5 linked regions of the Canis lupus familiaris genome follow. The protein of the gene in region 1 interacts with the protein of each later gene in a pairwise test. Links are inferred from orthologs where the notes say so. Each region holds a gene or a part of one and is shown in the gene's direction. Other genes may lie near its edges.

Evidence for each region.
Region 2: the proteins of KASH5 (region 1) and GOSR2 interact in binary tests that used the Homo sapiens proteins (3 or more experiments, as listed by UniProt). The two-hybrid records come from large-scale screens. The link is inferred for Canis lupus familiaris from reciprocal best matches to the Homo sapiens genes KASH5 and GOSR2.
Region 3: the proteins of KASH5 (region 1) and CYBC1 interact in binary tests that used the Homo sapiens proteins (3 or more experiments, as listed by UniProt). The two-hybrid records come from large-scale screens. The link is inferred for Canis lupus familiaris from reciprocal best matches to the Homo sapiens genes KASH5 and CYBC1.
Region 4: the proteins of KASH5 (region 1) and NRIP3 interact in binary tests that used the Homo sapiens proteins (3 or more experiments, as listed by UniProt). The two-hybrid records come from large-scale screens. The link is inferred for Canis lupus familiaris from reciprocal best matches to the Homo sapiens genes KASH5 and NRIP3.
Region 5: the proteins of KASH5 (region 1) and PPP1R18 interact in binary tests that used the Homo sapiens proteins (3 or more experiments, as listed by UniProt). The two-hybrid records come from large-scale screens. The link is inferred for Canis lupus familiaris from reciprocal best matches to the Homo sapiens genes KASH5 and PPP1R18.

The regions. Positions count from the first base shown.
Region 1 is NC_049222.1:107,771,335-107,775,529, reverse strand, and holds the start of KASH5 (protein KASH5), read left to right. Parts: upstream 1-1,395; 5' UTR 1,396-1,656; intron 1,657-3,506; exon of another isoform or gene 3,507-3,507; 5' UTR 3,508-3,602; coding exon 3,603-3,645; intron 3,646-4,054; exon of another isoform or gene 4,055-4,071; intron 4,072-4,195. UniProt on the Homo sapiens protein: As a component of the LINC (LInker of Nucleoskeleton and Cytoskeleton) complex, involved in the connection between the nuclear lamina and the cytoskeleton.
Region 2 is NC_049230.1:16,663,473-16,667,596, reverse strand, and holds the start of GOSR2 (Golgi SNAP receptor complex member 2), read left to right. Parts: upstream 1-1,324; 5' UTR 1,325-1,451; coding exon 1,452-1,480; intron 1,481-1,691; exon of another isoform or gene 1,692-1,880; intron 1,881-1,956; exon of another isoform or gene 1,957-2,114; intron 2,115-4,124. UniProt on the Homo sapiens protein: Involved in transport of proteins from the cis/medial-Golgi to the trans-Golgi network.
Region 3 is NC_049230.1:760,152-764,128, forward strand, and holds the start of CYBC1 (cytochrome b-245 chaperone 1), read left to right. Parts: upstream 1-1,177; 5' UTR 1,178-1,264; intron 1,265-1,778; 5' UTR 1,779-1,815; coding exon 1,816-1,900; intron 1,901-2,841; coding exon 2,842-2,883; intron 2,884-3,470; coding exon 3,471-3,544; intron 3,545-3,977. UniProt on the Homo sapiens protein: Functions as a chaperone necessary for a stable expression of the CYBA and CYBB subunits of the cytochrome b-245 heterodimer. Controls the phagocyte respiratory burst and is essential for innate immunity.
Region 4 is NC_049242.1:32,954,991-32,959,193, reverse strand, and holds the start of NRIP3 (nuclear receptor-interacting protein 3), read left to right. Parts: upstream 1-1,403; 5' UTR 1,404-1,504; coding exon 1,505-1,550; intron 1,551-1,899; exon of another isoform or gene 1,900-1,977; coding exon of another isoform or gene 1,978-1,990; coding exon 1,991-2,151; intron 2,152-4,203.
Region 5 is NC_049233.1:625,434-629,412, reverse strand, and holds the start of PPP1R18 (phostensin), read left to right. Parts: upstream 1-1,179; 5' UTR 1,180-1,313; intron 1,314-2,103; 5' UTR 2,104-2,136; coding exon 2,137-3,747; intron 3,748-3,979. Other genes in the region: NRM (nurim), read left to right, coding at 407-438.

The DNA.
Region 1 (4,195 bases):
CTCAAGACCCCATGAGGTGCATACTATTTGTTCCCATTTTAAAGAAAAAATTGAAGTTCAGAGAGGTGAGGTCACTTGCCAAAGTCACATAGCAGTGGCATTGGTTTTCTGATTCCCTATCTCACCCTTTTAACCACTCATCACACCACCTGTCAAACAGGTTCTTTCCCAGACCTTATGACAAGTCACCATCTAATAGCAGTGATAATAACAATTAACAGCGATTATCACCTTAAGTGCTCAAGGAAACCTAAGAAGCAATTACTATCTCCATTTCTGAGAGGAAACCTGAGTCTCAGAGAGGGTAAGCCATTGTGCCAACAAAGTTAATAGAGCCAAAATTCAAACCCAAGAATGTCTGCCTCTGGGCTCACAGCCTTGTCATAAATTCTATACTGCCCAGTAGTTAAGAGGTTTGGATTCCATCCATTCCTTCACTTATTCATTCAACACTTTTTTTTTTTTTTGAGCCCTCACACTGGGCCAGGCATGTTGTAGCCCCAAAACAGCCTCCTACTGCATATAGCTCACATTCCAGTGGGGTGACAGTACACAGATATACATGTCACGTTGTGAGACATGCCATGAGGACCACTAAGAAATTGTAAGTGTTTAGTGAGAAGGGGGCCCAATGCAGCAGTGTGACCGGGGAAGGTCTGAGGACGTGACAGCTGAATGAATGATGGTGGGATGCAACCTTTTCTGTGTCTCTGCTAGCAGAAAGGCAGACGGATGGCTGGCACATCTTATGTCCCAAATCCCCCTTCTTGGGAGTCAATTTTGGGTGTAATTCTCTCTTGTCTGATGGGAAAAACAGGGTATTTTCCTCCCCCACTCTCTCCTATAAAGGATGAATGAAACGGTTTGAGAAAGACTCCTTCAGGGATTTATTAATATATGGTGACTGGAGCCCCAGAGGGCGCGGGAGTGCTAGAGCAAGACAGGGCAGGACATCATTGTGATGGTGATGGGCAGCCTGGCACAGAACAGACGGCAAAGGGGCATGACTTAGTAGCTGATAAAAAGTAGGGGATGGACAAGAGGTGCCTCAATCCAACTCTCCCTTACTTGGGCCCATTACACTCAAGCTTGAGAGGAGAAGATCCCGGCGCAGAGGACGCAGGGACACCTCCGGTGCCCTACCCGCGGTAACCCCCGCAGCCTTGACCCGCTCGGCCAATACGCATGCGCCCGCTCCACCAGGCCGGGTGCGCGCCCCGGTAGCCCTACGCATGCGCGGCCTCGCGGTTGCAGGTAACAGACAGGAGCGAGCGCGGTGCGCGCCTGCGTCGCGAGGAGGAGCCCAGGTGGGGCGGGGTTTAGACACCACGCGCGCTCTCGGTCCCGCCCCGCCCCCTGTCTTTTCCTGGTGGCACGGCGCACGCGCACCTCCGTGCTACCCAATTGCCGTTGGTCAGTCGTGGTCTCCCGCTGTGTCCGGCCGTACGTGGGCCCAGGTGCGCCCCGGCGGCGGCGAGGTTCCCGAGAGAAGCCCTGTTGGAGCTCCTGAATCGTGGGGGAGCATCTCCGATATCAAGGCCTTCCAAAAGGTTTTCCTGAAATCCTGACCAAACACCCTCAGAAATACTGAAAAGTACTCTCCAGGAAATCCGATAGACGACGCCTGAAATCTCCTCAGAATCTTCTCGAAATTCGGTCAGACTTCTCCCTCAGAGCCTGCCGAGCTACCCCCCCCCCATACTACTATTCCTTTCCCAAATACTATCAGGGACACCCCCGCCCTGCCCGAAGTCCTGTCAGAGATCCCCAGAAGTCTCGTCAAACCCGCCAAAATTCTTGTCAGAGTACCTTCCCAGATCCTGTCAGAGACCTCTGGAATCCAGTCAGACACCCCCAGAAATCCAGAGACGCCCCAGAAACCTGCTCAAAGACCCCTTTAAGACCCAGACCCCCTTAAATCCTGCCTGTGTCCTCCTCCTGCTCTAGCCTGCCTGTCAAAGACCCTCCCTCACTCTCCCTCCTCCCCTCAAGTCCCTATCCGGGGCTACCAGTGCCAGACCTTTCACTACTCAGGCCCCATAGCCATCACCCCCACCTCCACCCCGACACCCCTCCAGCGTTGTCCAAACCTGGAGGTCTCCCTTCAAAGACCGCTTTTTCTAGGACATTCTAAAAGTTTCCAGGAAGTGTGCACTCCATGGCTGTGGAGCCGGCTGAGGCCAGGGAGAGCAGGGTGTAGGGAGCACTTGGAGAGGAAAGGGGTGACGAGCGGGTGGGGTGAGGACAGACAGGCCCTAGGTGACCTGATGTTGACCATCTGCCCTAGTGTGCCCAGTTCAGCCCCGATGGGCAGTGTTGTCCGGCGTAATTATTAATAGCACCATTCTTGCTCTTGAAAGTGTCCTGGCATTGGGACAGTAAGTCATATAGTCAAGCTGGTTATAATGGAGGCAGGACAAGTCATTGTCAGGGCACAGAGGAGGGAGTCCCTAACTGGTCCGGGGAGTCAGGGAAGGCTCCCCAGGGAGGCTGTAAGCCAGAGCAGGGGCCACAAGTGCCATAGTTGTGATGAGGGTGAGGGCCCTGGAGGTCAGCCAGAGGAGAGAAAAATGACAAAAAGAGACAAAGAATTGCAGAGAGCACTCTGTCCCACACGAGCCAGAAGGGCTAGGACTTAGTCCTGAGGGCGCTAGGGATCCATGGCAGGGATCGGAGTAGGAAAAAGATGGGGTCACATTCACATGGGAGCCAAACAGTTCCTAAAACAGGCTGATATAGCAGAATGTCAGTCACCCAGGGCAGTGTGAGAATCCAGACACAGCAGCTCATTCGGAAACATTTTCCCAGAGTAGGGGGATGTGAGCCAAGACAGGAAGGGCTGGAAAGGAGATTGTCCCAGGCAGAAACCAGGGGCGGGGGGCGGGGGGCGGGGGGGGGGGGGTGGAAACAGCCATGCCGGTGTGGGGGAGAGCATGCAGTTCAGAGCTGCTGGAACTGCAAGTGTGATTTGGGTTTGCGGAGGTGGGCAGGGCCAGGCCATGAAAGGGCCTTCGATGCTGGGTCCAGGGTCTAGGTTCTGTCCCTGGGGTACTGGGGAGCCATGGGAGCAGGAGAGGGGCAGGTCAGCTCTGGGGCCCTGTGGGGATGCATAGGAGGGGAAAGTCTGGAGACCGGGAGGCTTGGGAGGATGGGATGAGGGTCCAGGAGGAAAGGATGGGGCCTGGCCCAGAGATGTAGGGAAGGAGAGGAGTGGACAGGATAAAGTCGTAGGGCAAAGAGAAACCAGGTTAGGGACTTGACAGGAAGAGTGGAAGGGAAGCAAGGAGGGAGTGACCCCCACCCCCAGCCACTCTTTGATCTCTGCTGCCCACTCCTCGCCCCCCCCCTTCCCCAGCCCACACCTCCAATCCATAAAACAGGTCTGAGCGGGAGCTGCTCTGGTGGAAGCAGGGGTGGGCAAACAGGTTCTGGGAACCCAGAGCGGCCTGGGGCACAGGTGGGGCGGGGTGGCTGGTCTGAGGAGGCTATGCCCATTTGTCCTTCCAGGAGCTCTCAGAGCCTTCGAGCCTTTGTCAGCCCCTCCCAGGGATGGAGGCAGACTTTTAGTTTCTCCACCACCTGCAGAGCGACCGGGGTGGCCCATGGACGTTCCAGAGGGCCAGGCAGGTGGCCCTGCTGCAAAAAGTAGGTGGCTATCCCCTTTTTATCCCCATGGGAGGATGAGGAGGGAAGCAGTTGGGGAGTGGGTGCCACGTTGTGCCTCAGGGACTTGAGAGAGGTGGCTTGGGGTGTCTGAGCCTCCACCTTGGTGCAGGGTTGGAGTGGGAGAGTTAGCTGTCATTGAAGGGCCCGCTGTGTGCCCACCTGTGTGGACACCACATCTTGTCTGCTCTGCGGAAGCTGGAGCAGAAACCTTTGCACTCGCTATATGTACCCTCTGCGAAGGGCACCCTTCCCTAAGGCTTTCCCCTCACTTCATTCAGATCTCTCCTTCCTTTGAAAAGCTTTCTTTCACATTCACTCCCCTCTCCTGCTTCTCCTCAGAGCACGGACAGACATCTGTTTGTCTGTTTTTTTCTCTCTCTCCCACTAGAACATACTTTCCGTGAGGTGAGAGTCTGTTGTATTCACTCTGGTTCCTGGTCCATAGAGCAGTGCTGCCCAACTTGTGAGCCATAATTGTGATTTTAAATTGTTAGTAGCCACATTTCTAAATTTTTAAAAAAGATTTATA
Region 2 (4,124 bases), on another chromosome or scaffold:
ACAGGGGCACCTGGGTGGCTCAGTTGGTTGAGGGACTGTTGGTTTCTGCTCAGGTCATGATCTCATGGGTGTTGGGACAGAGCCCAGCATTGGGCTCCACTGGGTGGGGGGTCAGCTTGAGATTCTCTCTTTCCCTCTCCCTCTGCCCCTACCCTCTGAGTGAGCTGCTCTCTCTCAAAAAAATAAATCTTTTTAAACATAAACATTTACAGAGGGGTTAGCATGTGCAAGACACTGTTAAAATTCTATTGATTCTTCAACAAAAAAACAAAACACTTGATTCTTGAAGGCCCCATTCATAGGCTCTTTCATCCACGAACTCTTCTTGCTTTTCTCCAGAAAAAAAAAAAAAAAAGGTACTTTGTATCAACTGTAGCACTTTTCTACTTGATAATGTAGCTGGAGGGCATAATTAGCTCTGTCAACAGACTACGAGAGAAGAGATATTTGAAGGCTATCTTTCCTGTAATCCTGCTCCCAGTATCTGTGCCTGGTAATAGTAGGTGCTCATTAATAATTAGAATGGGAAAATGTTTGGGAAAGAATGTACATGGGTGGACAGTCTCTTAGGACACAAAACTGGGTGGGCTCCAGGATACAGGAAAATAAAAGCATCAACTTGTCAAAGGAAGAGGAACATCTCCTCCCTTGGAAGGAACTGCAGATAAGCCTGGGAGGGTGGACACGGGTTAGGTCTCTGTGGAGAGAGAGACCGAAGCGTCCCAATCCTTCGAGTCCTAATTCAAATGCCACCTCCTACATTAGGAGTCTTTCCTGACTCTTCGACGGGGCTGACCCCGGCTCAGCTCAGCCTGTCTGGACTTCTTTGTATACTTATCTTACTTCCTAGCCCGCGACCTCTTTGGAGGGCAAGAGGAGCCCGGTTTCCCCCACTGCACACATAGTAACTAACCGCTCATTCATTTTGAGTTTATTGGAAGGATAATGGGGAGGGGGGGACGGGCGGGGAGGGTAGGAAGCGGACAGATTTGACAGAGGAGAAGCTCGGGGCAGACACTACAGCGATGAGCGAAATCTCCATCCAATCCCAGAGCGGAGCAGTCGACGGCGAAGCCAACCGCAGGGAAGGGCAGGGATCCATCCACCTGCTCTGCTGCAGCCGGGCTCTGAGGACCCCACGTCGGTCCTCTCCGACTGCCCTGGTCAACGCCTGAGCTGATGCTGAAGACCGCCCCCGGCCCAAACCCACGTTTCCTCGTCCCCGATCTGCCGCAGCGCCTCTGACTACACCTGGCCTTCTTGCCCGGGCCTCTTCTCCCGTTACCCTCCTCCTCTCTCGCCACCACCGCCAGCCGGGCGCGCGTGGGGGCAGCCCTGGCTGGCAGGAGGGGGCGGGTCCTGCGACCGGAAGCCGGAAGCCGGAAACCGGAAAGGGCTCTGTGAGGACGTGTTCCGAGGAAGCCAGGGCCGGACCCGGCGCGGCCGGCGACATGGAGCCGCTATACCAGCAGACGCACAAGTGAGGGCCGCGTCGGGGCACGGGCGGGAGCGCAGCCAGGCTGGGCGAGGCCGGCTCCCCTGGCTGGGGCCTCGGGCGTCCGCCGGTGTAGAGGCCGAGTCCTTCCGGCGGGGCGCAGCCCGGGGCAGCTCGGAAGCGCTCAGTCTCTGGCGGGGTGCCCAGGTCGGCGGCGGTTGGAGGGTCCGGCCTGATGCCTGGAGACGTTGGGCCGGACGGCTCCTGGGATCTTCGAGGCCGCAATCCACCTGCTGGGTAGACTGGGCGAAGGGAAAGTCACACTTACGGATCATAATGCTTTGTCCAGCACCTGCCAACTCAGCGCTCTGGATTGATAGAGCTGGTGGGAAGTCAGGGCCCCTCCACATAGTTTACTGTTGGACAGTCCGGAGACTGATCTAAGGTGTGACAGGATGCGATGGAGGGTAAAGGAGCGGAATCTTCTTTAGCAATTTAGAAAGAGCCGTCCCTGGGCTAAGGTCGTCAGAAAAAGCTTCATTGCAGCTCACAGTTCCTAAATGATGTCAGCACCTACTCCTCATCGACACTAAGCTTGTTGCTGCGACCCCCCCCCCCCCCCGCTTTTATTCTGATCTGGTTTATACTAAAGACCATAGTGATGGAGTGTTTGGTTTGGGTGAGTGAGACTACAGAACCTACTTTGTAACGGTATTAAAATGACAGAATATGGTTCTCACCCTGGAGCCCTGGGCTCATCAAAATTACAGGAAGGGATTAAAAAAAATTCAGCCTGTGAGTCCATTGGAAAAGGAATGGCATTTCTCATGTTGCTAAGGAAGGGTTGGTCTTTTACAGTTAGTCTTTTCTTCTCAAGTGCTGAATCTGGGAGTCCTGGTTCTAGACTTCTTCACCTTATTTTTCTGATCTGTGAAATGTCTGAGGCTGGTTCAACTCCGAGTCTCCTTTCAGCTTCATAATAACTGGTGATGGAGTGTCTTAAAGAGGAACACGCAACCCTGTGAGCATCAGCAGTTAACTTTTGCAGTTGGCAGAAATTAACAATTGTCTAACTGAATTGACACGGCAGTAACCGAGCATATGAATTTTGCTGGGACTTTGAACCCAATTGGTGGTTATCTTGTGCGGTGTCCCTGAAAGTATGTTGAAGGAGATTGATATTTTATTTTATTTTATTAATTAACTTATTTATTTTGAGATTGATATTTTTTTTTTGAGATTGATATTTTAAAATTAGGTGTCTTGAAAGCTCCTGAATCACCACATGAACGAGTGAAAAGAAAAAAAAAGGGATGAAAATCAGAATAAACATTTTATACTTAAATAAAACTTCATTTGAATGAACATCATAGAGGAATAAGTAGCCAGGCTTCTATTTTCGATATTCCAGTGCCCATACTTGTCCTCTATATCATTCAGGACCATTCAGTGCTCTGCACCTTGTTATCTCTAGAGATTCTGATTCATTAGGTCTGGAGCAGAAGAAGCTCTATTTTTAACAAGCTCTCCCAAGTGATTTTGATGAGCAGCTGGGTGTAAAAACTATTATTTTATCCCAAGGTCAGTTTTACCTTTTTTTGATTTTGCCTTCTGGTGAGAGGCTAAATGTGGTAGAAGCAAGGTCAGGGAGATGAAAATGGCCAGATGGTTCCCACCACTTTTAAGTAAAAACAACCACTAAGGTTTCTGTGATGCTATGTAGGTTACACAGCAGTTTCATGCTGCATTTGGATCTATGAGCCTTTAAATAATTGTGATTGTTAATACCCTATTTTACCTAAGACTGAGGCGTCAAGGAGTTAAATGACTTGTTCATGGTCCCTCAGCTGCTATGTAGTGGAACCAGAACTTGAAACCAGTTTCTTTTAACTCCAAAACTTTGTTTCCTGCTTGCAGTGGTCAGAGGCATAATGGATACAAAGTGGGTGTATATGAAGGGGCATTAGGGTGGTTCCATGGACTTTAAAAAGACAACTTCATTTTAAAATTCTTCCTGGATCTTCTGCAGACTTTTTTTTTTTTTTTTTTTTTTGAGTCAGCAACAGTGACTTATTATTAGGGTCTCTGTTTGTTTATATTATTACCCAAGCCCACCATGGACCCCGTGCTGAATGGGGCTAGGACTTAACAGTTTCTAGTGTCCACACTCCCAAGTCATACCTGTGTATCACCTGTTCCGTATTGGCTTCAGGTGTGTTTGTGAATTCCCAGTTCAAAACAGATTTCCTGGGATGCCTGGGTGGCTCAGTGATTGAGCATCTGCCTTCAGCTCAGGGTGTGATCCCGGTCCTGGATCAAGTCCCGCATCAGGCTCTCTGCAGGGTGCCTGCTTTTCCCTCTGTCTATGTCTCTGCCTCTCTCTGCATCTCTCATGAATAAATAAATTAAAAATCTTAAAAAAAAATAAAACAGATTTCCCGCTTAGCATACTGTAGTTCCCACCCTGTCATTAATTAATACTTGCTTGGTTATTTTGCATTTATTTCCTCTCAGGTAGGAAATGTAGAGATTGGAATCATTTTCTTGGCAGTATCTTTTCTAGTTCATTCAAAGCCTATAATAGAGCTTAGATGGGAAAAGTCAGTAATGTTTCCCTACAACTTAAAGTTTACCTGTTTTAGCTTAGAAACCAGTAAAAGCCAAATGAAGGGTGTTTAAAGGGTAGGTG
Region 3 (3,977 bases), on another chromosome or scaffold:
GTCCTGGACCAGCGGATTAGCAACAGATGACGTTGCAGCCCCCTCCCACCACTAGGAACAAGTGCCAGCAATCTGTGCTTCCACAAGCCTGCCAGGTGATTCAGATGCCTGCCCAGGTTAGGAAGCCACGGGCAGAGAGAAGCTGAAGCAGATGGGTCAGGTCGCGTGCCTGTGTTGGTAAGCCTCCTGGGGTTACGTGTACCCGTGCACACACGTTTCTCTGTAAGGGACTACGCGTTGCACTAATCTTACGAAGGCTGTAAAACATGTTGAGAATAGGAAAGGGACAAAGGAGAAGAGAAGCTCCCCTGTTCTTCCAACATCCCGCTGAGGTGGTGGGTGGGGGCTCCTCCTGACCGCAGCCAGGTGATGGGGTCCTGCTCGGGTCCTCACCTGCGGCAGTAAGAGAAAGTGGCATTTGGCGGAGGGAGCAGGTGGGCCTCCTACGTGGCCATCGCAAGGTTTTCCCGGAGAAAACTGCCTTTCCCACGGCAATCCTTTGTGGACAGGCTAGCCCGCGAGAGCCGGGCCCGGTTCCGGGAGCCTCGGCGCCGCGGCAGTCACCGCAGCGGGGCTCATTTTTTATGACGACTTGTCAGTGCGTGAACAAGCTATTCATGCTCCTTCGATGTTACTGAAGCTTTAGCATTTTTGCCAGAGCTGGTGCACGTGTACTGTTAGATTATCTTCGCTTTTTGTTTATCGATTTTTTTTTTTTTTTTAAAGATTTCATTTGAGAGCAAGAGGGGCTGGGTGGGGAGGTGCGGACCCCGGGGTCGGGACCTGAGCACACGCTCCACCGACTGGGCCACCAGCTGCTTTGATCAACGTTTTATTTTTATTTTTCTATTTTTTTAAAGATTTATTTATTTATGATAGAGAGAGGCAGAGACACGGGCAGAGGGAGCAGCAGGCTCCATGCGGGGAGCCCGACGCGGGACTCGATCCCAGGTCTCAGGAATCGCGCCCTGGGCCAAAGGCAGGCGCTAAACCGCTGCGCCACCCAGGGATCCCCTGATCAATGTTTTAAGGGAGACTTTTGAGGCCCAGTTTACCTTTCCAGGCTTCCTGGGGCGTCGCTCCCGCGCCCCGAGGCGCCGGCTCCCCCGCCGCCCTCCGCCGCGGGCGCTGCGGCAAGAGGCCCCGCCCCGGAAGTCGGGCCCGCCTCGCCCGGAAGTCAGCCGTCCCGCCCCCAACCCCGGAAGTGGGCGGCCCGCCGCGCGCCGCGAGGTCCCGGCTCAGCGCCCGCGGGGTCGTGTGTTCGGTAGGCGCGGGGGTCGGGCCGCCGTCGGGGCTGCGGGCGGGCTGCGGGCGGGCTGCGGGCGGCGCGTGGTGGCGGGAGCGCCGGGCGCGGGGGCCCTGGCTGTGGGGAGCCGCTGACCCCCGCGCCCGCCGCCGTTCGGGCAGCCCGGTGCCGCGCCGCGGAGCCCACCCTCGGTGCGTGCGCGGAGAGCCCGGAGCCCCGCCTGCTGGGTGCCAGCCGCGTCCGCGCGCCTCGGTCCGCGGGCCGGCAGCACCCGCCCCCGGCCCCTCCCCCCTTCCCCCGTCGGTCCCCCCTCCCCCTCCCTCCCCGCCGATCCCTCCCCCCGCCCCCCCGCGCCTCGGCCGCCCGAGGACGCTCGCAGTTCCCTTTCTTGGCGGGGACCGCGCGCTCCGGGAGGCTGCGCCGGGGCGAGGCTCGCGTGCTGCTGGGGCCGCGGGTTCCCGGTGCCCCCGGGCCGGCTCCCCGCGGGCGGGCGGTTGGACCCCAGCCGCGGTCTGCCCTCGCCCTTCCCCAGCCCGTCTGCGTCGGAGCGCTGCCCGCCCAGGCCCGGGATGTACATGCAGGTGGAGTCCCGCAGCAGCTCCTGCCTCCATCTGAAGAGGGCTCCGGGCATCAGGTCCTGGTCTTTGCTTGTTGGTAAGGATTTCCGTATTTCCCCCAAGCTAAAAACCTAACTTTAAAAACACGGAAACAGGGATCCCCGGGTGGCACAGCGGTTTGGCGCCTGCCTTTGGCCCAGGGCTCGATCTTGGAGTCCCGGGATCGAGTCCCACGTCGGGCTCCCGGTGCATGGAGCCTGCTTCTCCCTCCTCTTCTGTCTCTGCCTCTCTCTCTATGATAAATAAATAAATAAATAAATCTTAACTAAAAAATAAAAAAATAAAAACAACGGAAACAAAACTGTCTTGTTGCCCCCAAGTACAACAATTATCTCATATCTTTCTAGCTTTTATCCTCCGTGCGATTGTCCTTTTTCCACCTTCACCTTAAGGTTGTGCCTGTTCTCCCGAGGTCCTGGTGTTCTCCTTTTCCTTGCCTCCCAATGCCCGGGTGCGGGCGTCAGGCTGGGCGGTGGGCCCCAGTTCGCTCCTTCACTGTCCCTCTGGGCGTCCAGCACGCGGGGGCAGCTGCAGGCCATTGGTGGGCCTGGTGTGAGGAGTGGTGTGGCTGTGCCTTCAGCAGCCTGCCTCTGGTCCGTCATTCCCGACACCCTGCTCGTGGCCACCTGCCTGTAGTGCTTCATGTGCCACACGTGGTCCTTGCGCACATGCTGCGCTGGTAGAGTAAACCCCTGCTGTCCGGCTCCTCCCTCTGGTTCGCTGGTCAGCCCTGGAGCCCCAGGTAGAGGAACAGATTCCCGGAACGCAGAATGGCATTTGCCATGGTCCCAAGCGCGCCTCCTGCCTCTTGCCCTCCTTCCTGAGCCATGGTCTCTGGTTCCCCTGCTCCCCACCTCCAGGCACCCTGGCACCAGGAAGGCCTGCTCTCCCTGCACCTCTGGGCCTGTGGCTCCAAGTGAGGGGGCCCTAGGCCGCTGGTGGCCCAATAGAAGCACCTGCTTTCTTTTCTCTTTGCAGGAATCTTGTCCATTGGCCTGGCTGCTGCATACTACAGTGGAGGTGAGGTGCATCCCCCTGCCTCCCTCCCCTCCCCCCTCCCGCCCACCCTGTCACTTAGTCTGTTTGAGAAATAGAGAAAAGAGAGAGAGAACTCACCATTAGTGGTGCCCACTGAGCCCCAGCCTTTGGGGCCACAGGCACCTGTGCAGGTGCTGCCCCAGCCTGAGCACTGGTGCATCCTTCCTAATAGCCTGTCCCGTGCCACCTGTGCTCTTCCCTTCTCGTATCTGGAGCACTTTCCCTGGTGATGAAACTTTCTTAAAAGGTGCTCTTGTATTTGCCTGAGGCTGTTGCAGGCTAAGCCACACTTGTAGCTGCTCCTGCAGGTGGCTCCCTCCACCGTCACAGTCACACCGTGTCTCCAGCAGATGCTGCAGGGAGAGTGGAGGGCACAGAGCTGGCCGGACATTTCACATATGGTTCCAAGTGACAGGCAGGGCCAGCAGTGCCGGGCGGCCACCCTGGGCCAGGTCTGCTGGCCCCAGGTGCCACCCCTGCCCGGTATCGGCTGGCGAGGGGGCCCATGGCACGCAGGCCTCCGCCCGCTGCTGCTGCCCCTCACCCGCTGCCTGTTGTTTGCTCTGCAGATAGTTTGGGCTGGAAGCTCTTCTATGTCACCGGCTGCCTGTTCGTGGCCGTGCAGAACCTGGAGGACTGGGAGGTAAGGCCAGCGCAGGCGAGGGTGGGGGCGCCGTGGGAATCACCGCAGGGGGAGAGGCTCAGAGGCCTCACACACCCCCTGTCCTCAAACTTCAGCTTCGAGGTTTCTGGTTAGTAGGACTCAGCCCCTGGGCAGAGGGATCCCCCGAAGCTGTATTTCTCCTAGACGCGCTTTGCGACTGCTTCCACCGAATTCCTTGCTCCGTGGTGTTGCCGTAGCACGGAGCAGATTGAAGGTGCCCTGGGTGAGGGACCGTCTCCTTGGTGGGCCCTTCCTGAGGAACCACAGGACCCACGGTTGCTCTCTGGCCCCCACTCCCGTTTAGTGACCTCAGCTTGGGGAGAGCACCTGCTCTGATGCCTCTCTTTGTCTCCACGCCCCCTGGCCCCGTGCTCCCGACACGTGGGAGCCCAAGAGGGTGTGGCTGTAGGTG
Region 4 (4,203 bases), on another chromosome or scaffold:
AAATGTCAATATTGTTACTTTTGTTGGTTCTCTTCAGCGAACTGATCTTTCTGCTTCATATCTCCTCCTGAGACACAAGGTGGGAGAGGGTAGTGCTAGTGGTCTCTAGGATGGAAACCCAGTTTGTATTAAGTCACAACATAGGGGCCAGAAGCTAGGAAGCCTGAAGGACCCATCAGAATGGCTTACATGCAAACTGGTGCAGCCACTCTGGAAAACAGTATGGAGATAGTTGAAAAGAGAACTATCCCAAACCTAGCAATTGCACTACTAGGTATTTATCCAAAGAAAACAAAAATAGTGATTCAAAGGGGCACATGCACCCAAATGTTTATAGCAGCAATGTCCACAACAGCCAAAATATGGAAAGAGCCCAGCTGTCCATCCACAGATGAGTGGATAAAAAAGATGTTGTGTATATACACAATGAAATATTACTTAGCTATCAAAAAGAATGAAATCTTGCCATTTGCAAAGACATGGATGGAACTAGAGGGCATTATGCTAAGTGAAATAAGTAGGTCAGAGAAAGACAAATATCACATGATTTCACTCATATGTGGAACTTAAGAAACAAAACATGAACACAGAGGAAGGGAAGGAAAAATAAAATAAGATGAAAACAGAGAGGGAAGCAAATCATGAGAGATTCTTAACTGTAGGAAACAAACTGAGGGTTGCTGGAGGGGAGATGGGTGGAGGGATGGGGTAACTGGAAGATGGGCATTAAGGAGAGCGCTTGATGTAATGGGCACTGTGTGTTCTATACAACCGATGAATCACTAAAGTCTAATCCTGAAACTGGTAATATACTATATGTTAACTTTAAATTAATTTAAATTAAAATTTTAGGGATCCCTGGGTGGCTCAGCGGTTTCCCACCAGCCTTCAGCCGGGGGCATGATCCTGGAGTTCCTGATGCAGTCCGGCTCCCTGCATGGAGCTTGCTTTTCCCTCTGCCTGTGTGTGTCTCTCATGAATAAATAAATAAAATCTTTTTTTAAAAAATTAAAAATTTAAAAAATGACGTTTATTATTATTATTTTTTAAAAGAATAGCTTCAGAGTAGGGAGGACTCAAAGAAAACCCGGTTCCCATTGCTCCTGGAAACCAGCTGAAGAGGAGAGTGAAAGACCCTCCCCCACGGTGACCCTTACGTGTTGGCTGGGACATCCTTGCTTTTCCGTCAGGGGTTCCGCAGAGCAGGTGTGGGGCCGCACTCCGTGCAGTCGCAGAGGGGGGACTGTCGCCTTCCGCAGCCCTAGCTGACCCGCAGGTTTCCAGCCGGCCCTGCGCCCCCGCTCCCAAGTGAGGATGCGGGGGTGCCCTGAGCCAAGGGCGGTGGGGGGGGGTCCCCGGAAAGCCAGCTCCAGCAGGCCCGCAGTCACGTGGCCTGGTGGGTGGGGACGGACCTGAAGTTGCAGAAGTCCCGAGCCATCCCAACTCTGAAGGGCGCTGTAGACGCCGGGACTCCCGGAGGGGCGCGGAGGGAAGGATTTGGGGCATGGCTCAGCTGGCGGTGATCCCCGGGTCGGCCACGGCGTGGCCAGGTGAGCCGAGTCGGGAGCGGCGCGGCGGGCGTGGGGGAGGCCGCCGCACCGTGGGGCCCCCAACACCCTATCCCGCTCCAGGGGATGCGGGGCACCCACAGCGGGGGAGGGAGGCTGGGTAAAGCGGCCCTGGCCGGCCCTCGGCGCTCTGAGTCGGTCCGGCCCGCGTCGCCCCTCGCGGGCCCTTCCCTTCACCGACGTGGCGCGGAGAGCCGGGTCCGCCCGGGACGCGGGAGAGCGGCGCGCCGGGCGGGGGGGGCGCTTGCTGGCCCCGCCCCTCCGCGCGCGCACTGGCTGCTCCCCGTGACGTCACGCTCGGCTATAAAATGCTCGGCGCGCGGCTCTCGCGGCGCCGGAGGAGCTCGAGGCTGAGGGCGGCGGGGGAGCGGGGAGCGACCGGGGTCGCTGGGCCGCGGGCGCCTCAGCGATGTTCTACTCAGGGCTCCTCAGCGAGGGCGGCCGCAAGGATTCGGACATGCGGGAGGCGGCGTCGCTGCGGCAGCAGCGCCGGATGAAACAGGCCGTGCAGTTCATTCATAAGGACTCCGCCGACCTGCTGCCCTTGGACGGCCTCAAGAAGCTGGGCTCGTCCAAGGACACGGTGAGCCCCCGCGGCCGCGCCCCTCTCGGGAGGCCCGCGCGCGGCGGCCGGTCACCTTCGCGCCGTGCGGTCTCCCCGGGCCCGGCCTCGGCCGCTTTCACTGAGTCACCGGCCGGGCCCCCGCGCCCGCCCCCTCCGCCGCTGCCCGCTGGCTCGCCCTTCCTGTCCGGATTCCCCTCCGCCAGCATCTCCTTGCTTCACTTTCCCTCGGATTCCGTCGTAGCTCCACCAGCTCTCGCTGCCTTGCGCTCTGCCTCTCCCCTTCGTGCCTCTCCCTTCTTGTGTAGGAGACCCTGTCCTGCCTTCCGGCCCTCTGGTCGCTTTCCTTCCCGTTATTCTTCCTCGTAGTACTGAATGTGATTGCATGATTGAGCCTCGCTTGGCTGGGCTGCTTGGCCGGTCCGGTGACCCAGACAGAGGTGACTCCTAATGGGTGTGGGAAGGGGGGGGTTCTTGGCAGTCACCATACCCAGATGATTTTGTTAAATCCATTCCCCACTATGCAAAATCTACTCCGTTTGATTTTTGGGCTTATCTATCTTAACCTTCCATCCTGGGGGGCGGGGGGCGGGCAGAAAAAGGGTCGAATGTGAAGGAGGTTTCTTGAACCCCAGGTATTTCTTTATCATTCTCATCTCTCCCCCTACTCTTATTCCTACCCACATAGAGTGGCTAGAGAGAGGAAGCCAGGCTGCTCCATCTCACTGACCAGCTAACGTCTGGAGCTAGAGCTGAAGCTGGCGCAGGCTTTTTTTTCTTGCAGGTTTCTTGAGGGTTCGCCTTAAGAAGGAGAAACCCCAGGGCTGGAGGTCTGGATGCAAACACTATGCTGTCCTCTCCAAGAAAGGGGATGAATGATTCAGGGTTACTAGTTTAAAGAACTGTATTTGACTCTCATCCTTCAGTCACTGTAGTGGTACTGGGCCAAATATATGTTTAACTTTGTGGTTTTATCTGGAGTTTTCTTATCTTTTTAGATTTATTTATTTGCTAGAGAGAGTGCGAGTATAGGCATGCGCACACGCACAAGTGGGGAGTAGGGGGTGGGGGAGGGCAGAGGGAGAGAGAGAATCCTCACCCAGACTCCCTGCTGAGCGTGGAGCTCAATACAGACTAGATTCCAGGACACCAAGATCATGACCTGAGCCAAAATCAAGAGGCAGCTAGCTGCTTAACCACCTGAGCTACACAGGTGCCCCTATCTGGAGTTTTCTTGTGGTTTACTTGTTTCCTTGAAGTTCACAATCACTTTATTCATCTGGGCAGTAACTTGTGAAGCATTAATTGTCTTTTAAATGAGGTAGATGCTCTGTATAATTTTTTCAGTACTTTTTGAGATTTGGGAATATTTAATTTGACAGGAAAGGAAGAGTGTTGGCCTGGTTCACTGAAATTGCCATTTCAAGCCCCAGATGACTATGGAAGGGAGAACTTCTGAATCTGCTGCTTTTTCTTAGTATCTCTAATAACACAGAGATACTGATATCAGATTTGCCCTCACCCATTGTGACAAAAATAATTTCAGTTGTTTTTGAGCAGGGGATGGCTACCCAGTTATTTTGCTCTGTTTTTTTCAAAGGTAGTTTTTCTGCAAAAGCCACAGGATAGTCAATATAATTTATGCTCACTCTGAGTGGTGAGTGACTGAAATGCATTCCAAGAAAAGAGATAACTCTCTTTCTTCCCTTCTTTCAAGTTAAAGCAGTGTAGATTCATTTAGCAAACCAGGTCTAAGTCTTCTTGCCTTCAGGCCAAAATAATCCTAGTTCCTAGAAACCTCAGGAACAAATAAAGAGAGAATATTTAGAAAAAGAAGTAAAATCTGGAATGTTTTTCTTCCCCTTATGCTGGATTTAAGAAATGATTGACATTTGGTTATCCTGGGCTGTCAGAGTTCCCTGGCCCTGAGGAACTACCGCTCCATCCTTCTGCTTAGCATTCTGTGTATTACTTCATCCTGTGTAGGAAGAATTCCATCTGCTTTTCTGACTCCAGTCTGTGTCAGTTGAGCCACAAAGGAGCTGATAGCATAAAACATAGGCAGTAGGCTGG
Region 5 (3,979 bases), on another chromosome or scaffold:
GGCTGCTTCAGACCAGAGGCCCAAATCTATGGACTGAAGGGGCCATCCCTTCCCCTGTTTGAGCCTCCACTCCTTGGGCCCAGCTCCATACCCTAATCCTGAATTTCAACCACTGGACCCCAAGATCTACTTCTCACCAAACCACGGAGGAAGGGTGGGGAACTTCAGTATTTCCTCACAGTTTAGGCCTTGACCCACCTCCACCCCACCTTAAGAACAGTCCTTCTAAGGAAGAAGGGTGGGCCTGCCCACTTCCCTCCCACTGTTGCTCCCTTCTACACCTCAGGGATCCCCTTCTCCCCCTCAGGCTTCCCTTCCTAGGAGTAGGATCAGGGTCTGCAGGTTTGATGGTAATGCCAGCTCTGCTGACTCACCTAGCCCCTCCTTAGGCCTTGCCCCTCCTTAGGCGCTGGCCCTGGGCTCTGTCCTCTAACCTGAGAGGATCCTCCCGCCCTTCATGTTGGTGACTAAGAGATCTCTGCCCTCCCGAGGAACGTCTGCGGCGGAAAAATAAAATTCAGCCCGTTTTTTCTACATATGGCATGCAGTCCATCAGTGTGTCTCTAACTAGAGGGCTGACTTTGGAAGGAAGGCCAGCAGAGCCCAGGCACGCCGAAGTCGAGTCCGGACGGCCACCGCGCCCTCTGGCGACCGCTGGGCGGCGGCCCCTCGGGCACACCCCCGAGGCCCAGCCCCCTTCCTCCAAGTCCCCAGTTCCCCCGCCGTGGACCGGGACCCATGGGACGCGGGCTGAAGCTAAAGACTGGGCAGCGGCTGTCGTGGGGGCCAGTTACCAAAGCCGTGGGCTTCCGAGTACGTCTCCGGGTGGCCGCCCGGGACCCCGCAGTGACGCAGGCTGGCCGGGAGAGGCCACCGCCTGGGGAGGGGCGGGCCCGGCCGGGGCAGCGGCTGCTTCCTCTGCGAGTCCCTCGAGGGGCCTGAGTCGCGGCGGGCGCGGCGGGCGGGGCGGGCGGGGCGGGGGCCAGGGCCTGGACACCTGCGTTCTCCGGGGCTCGCGGCAGGAGGGCCGGGCCGGGCCGGGGCTCGGGCGCGAGAAGGGGAGCCGGGGAGGCGGGGCCCACGCGCGGGCTCGGGAGCCGGCCCCGCCCCGCCCCGCCCCGCCCCGCGCCGCCCCGCCCGCGCCCCCTTCCCTCCCCATTGTCCTCAGACAAAGCGGTCGCCGCCCCCCGCCCGGCCCCGGGTCGCGGTCACCCTCCCGCCTCCCCGCCCGCGTCTCCGGCTCTCCCTCGGTCCCACTCCTCCTCCCTCGGACGCCTGCTCCTCCGCACCCCTCCCGTGGGAGCCCCGCGCGTGTGAGTCGGCTGCGGGGCTGCGGCCTCGGGGCGGGGGTGTCTCGCGCCGCCCGCCCCGGCGCGGACCTCGGGCTCCTCCCGTCGAGCCGCGGTTGCCTGTCGGTGCGCCCCGAGCCGGGGGGACGGCGGGCTCCGCGGGGCCGCTGAGCCGGGAGCCGGGCCTGGCGGCAGAGCCGGGGCGCGGAGCCGGGGCGCGGCCCGGGCCGGGGGCTGCCGCAGGAGGGGCGGGGGCGGGCGCCGGGGTTCCGGGAGCCCCGGGGTGGGCGCACCCGCGCCCCGCGCCCCGCTGCCTCCCCGGACGCCGGCTCCTCCCGGCTCCCCGACGCCGCTCCAGTCCCGGCTCCCTCCCGGCGGGACTCCCGGACCCCTCCCCGCCCCCCCCGCCCCCCGCCTCTGGGGCGGCGGTGGGGAAACCCGGCCTGGTCCTCCTCCTCGCGCCGCCCCCGCCCCCGCTCCCCGGCCGCTCCGGGCTCTCGCCTCCCTCGTTACGACTCCTTTTCCGCCCTTCTCTCCGCTCACATCCTCGGGCCTCCCCGATACCATGAACCCCGCGCTGCCAATTCTGACTGCTGTCTCCTCGCCCTGAATCTCTATTCTTCCTCTCAGGGCCGCGACGCCACCTCCGCCGGGCCCACTGCTTTTTCACTTTCTGTTTCCCCGTTACTTTGCCCTCCATCTTCTCACTCTTCCCCTCCCGGGCCTGGGCCCATCTCGGTGTCCCTCCTCTGCCCCTCTGCTTCCCCTCCCCCTACCCCCAGGACCTCTGGAGCCTCTCTTTCCTGTTCTCTAGCCCAGCACTTCCCACCCCTACCTCCGCGCGACCATGGCTACCATCCCGGACTGGAAGCTACAGCTGCTGGCCCGACGGCGGCAGGAGGAGGCGGCCCTTCGTGGCCGGGAGAAGGCTGAGCGGGATCGTCTGTCCCAGATGCCAGCCTGGAAGCGGGGAATCCTGGAGCGCCGCCGGGCCAAGCTTGGTCTGTCTCCTGGAGAACCTAGCCCTGCCCCTGGGACTACAGAGGCTGGACCTCCAGACCCAGATGAGTCGGCTGTCCTCCTAGAAGCCATTGGGCCGGTGCACCAGAACCGATTCATTCGGCAGGAGCGCCAGCAGCAGCAGCAGCAGCAGCGCAATGAAGAGTTACTTGCAGAGAGAAGGCCTGGGCCTTTGGAGGCCCGGGAGAGGAGACCCAGTCCTGGGGAAATTCGAGATCAGAGCCCCAAGGGAAGAGACTCAAAAGAAGAGCGGCTCAGTCCCAGGGAGGCCAGAGAGAGGAAGTTGGGGATAGGGGGAGCCCGAGAGTTGAGCCCCAGAACTTCAGAGGCTTGGGACTGGAGGCAGAGCCCAGGAGAGTCTGGAGACAGGAGCTCTAGACTGTCAGAGGCACGGAAATGGAGGCTGAGCCCTGGAGAAACTCCAGAGTGGAGTCTGAGACTGGCAGAGCCTGCAGAACAAAGCCCCAGGAGAAAAGAGGTGGTGGAAAGTAGACTGAGCCCCGCAGAATCTGACAACCAGAAGTTGGAGCTGTCAGAGTCCCATAAATGGAGGCCCGACTCTGGAGAGTCTCAGGAACAGAGTTTGGTACAACGGGAGGCATCAGGGTGGAGGCCCAGCTCAGAAGAAGAAAGAAAAGACTGTTTGGAGGAATGTAGGAGAAAAGAAGAGAGACCAATTCCAACACTGGCCTCAGAAGAGATTACAAAGGTGTCAGAGACCCTGACAAGGGAGGCTCCAGAGAGCAGCTCTGGAGAGGTGGAGGCAGCAGAGCAAAGGCCCGGCCCTGTGGAGGATAGTGAGAGGGGCCTGAGGCTGACAGAAGGCTGGAAATGGACCCTGAACTCTGGAAAGGTTCGAGAACGGACACCCAGGGACACAGAGACTCAACCTCAGAAACCCCCAGAGGCTGCTGAGAAGTATCTGGGGCCTCTTGGTACAGAGGCTGGAGAAGGGGAGGCTGAGAAGGAGAAGGCAGGGGCTCTGAGCAGGCCTCTGAGAACCCTGCAGAACTGTAGCTCTGTGCCCTCCCCCTTCCCACCAGAGGACGCTGGGACTAAAGGCTCTACGAGGCAGGAAGAGGAAGCGGTGGATCTCCGGCCCCCACCAACAGCCCCTCTGTTTCCCCTACCCCCAGCCCCACCTGCTCCCCAGTCCCCTGGGGATCCCCTCATGAACCGTCTGTTCTATGGGGTGAAGGCAGGGCCAGGGGTGGGGACCCCTCGCCGCAGTGGACACACCTTCACAGTCAACCCCCGGCGGTCTGTGCCCCCAGCAGCCCCCAGCACTCCCGCCACCCCAGCCGCGGCTGATGTTGCAGTTCCTGGAGTTGGGAAGAAGCGGTACCCGACTGCGGAGGAGATCTTGGTTCTGGGGGGCTACCTCCGCCTCAGCCGCAGCTGCCTTGTCAAGGGGTCCCCCGAAAGGCACCACAAACAGGTAGGGAGCAGCCCTCAGACTTCTCAGAAGCCTCAGCTCTCTCTGGCCTCCTTTCTTTTTTATAGCCCTGTATTCTTGTCTTCCTCTATTCTTTCTTGTTAATTCCTGCCACTACCCTTCCTCCTCTATGCACACCCTTCCTTCTTGTTGTAGCCCTCATTTTCCATTCATTTCCAAGCCCAAGGGTTCTGTCCCAAATCAAGTGCTGTCCCTGGGTGTGTCTCCCAGGGTG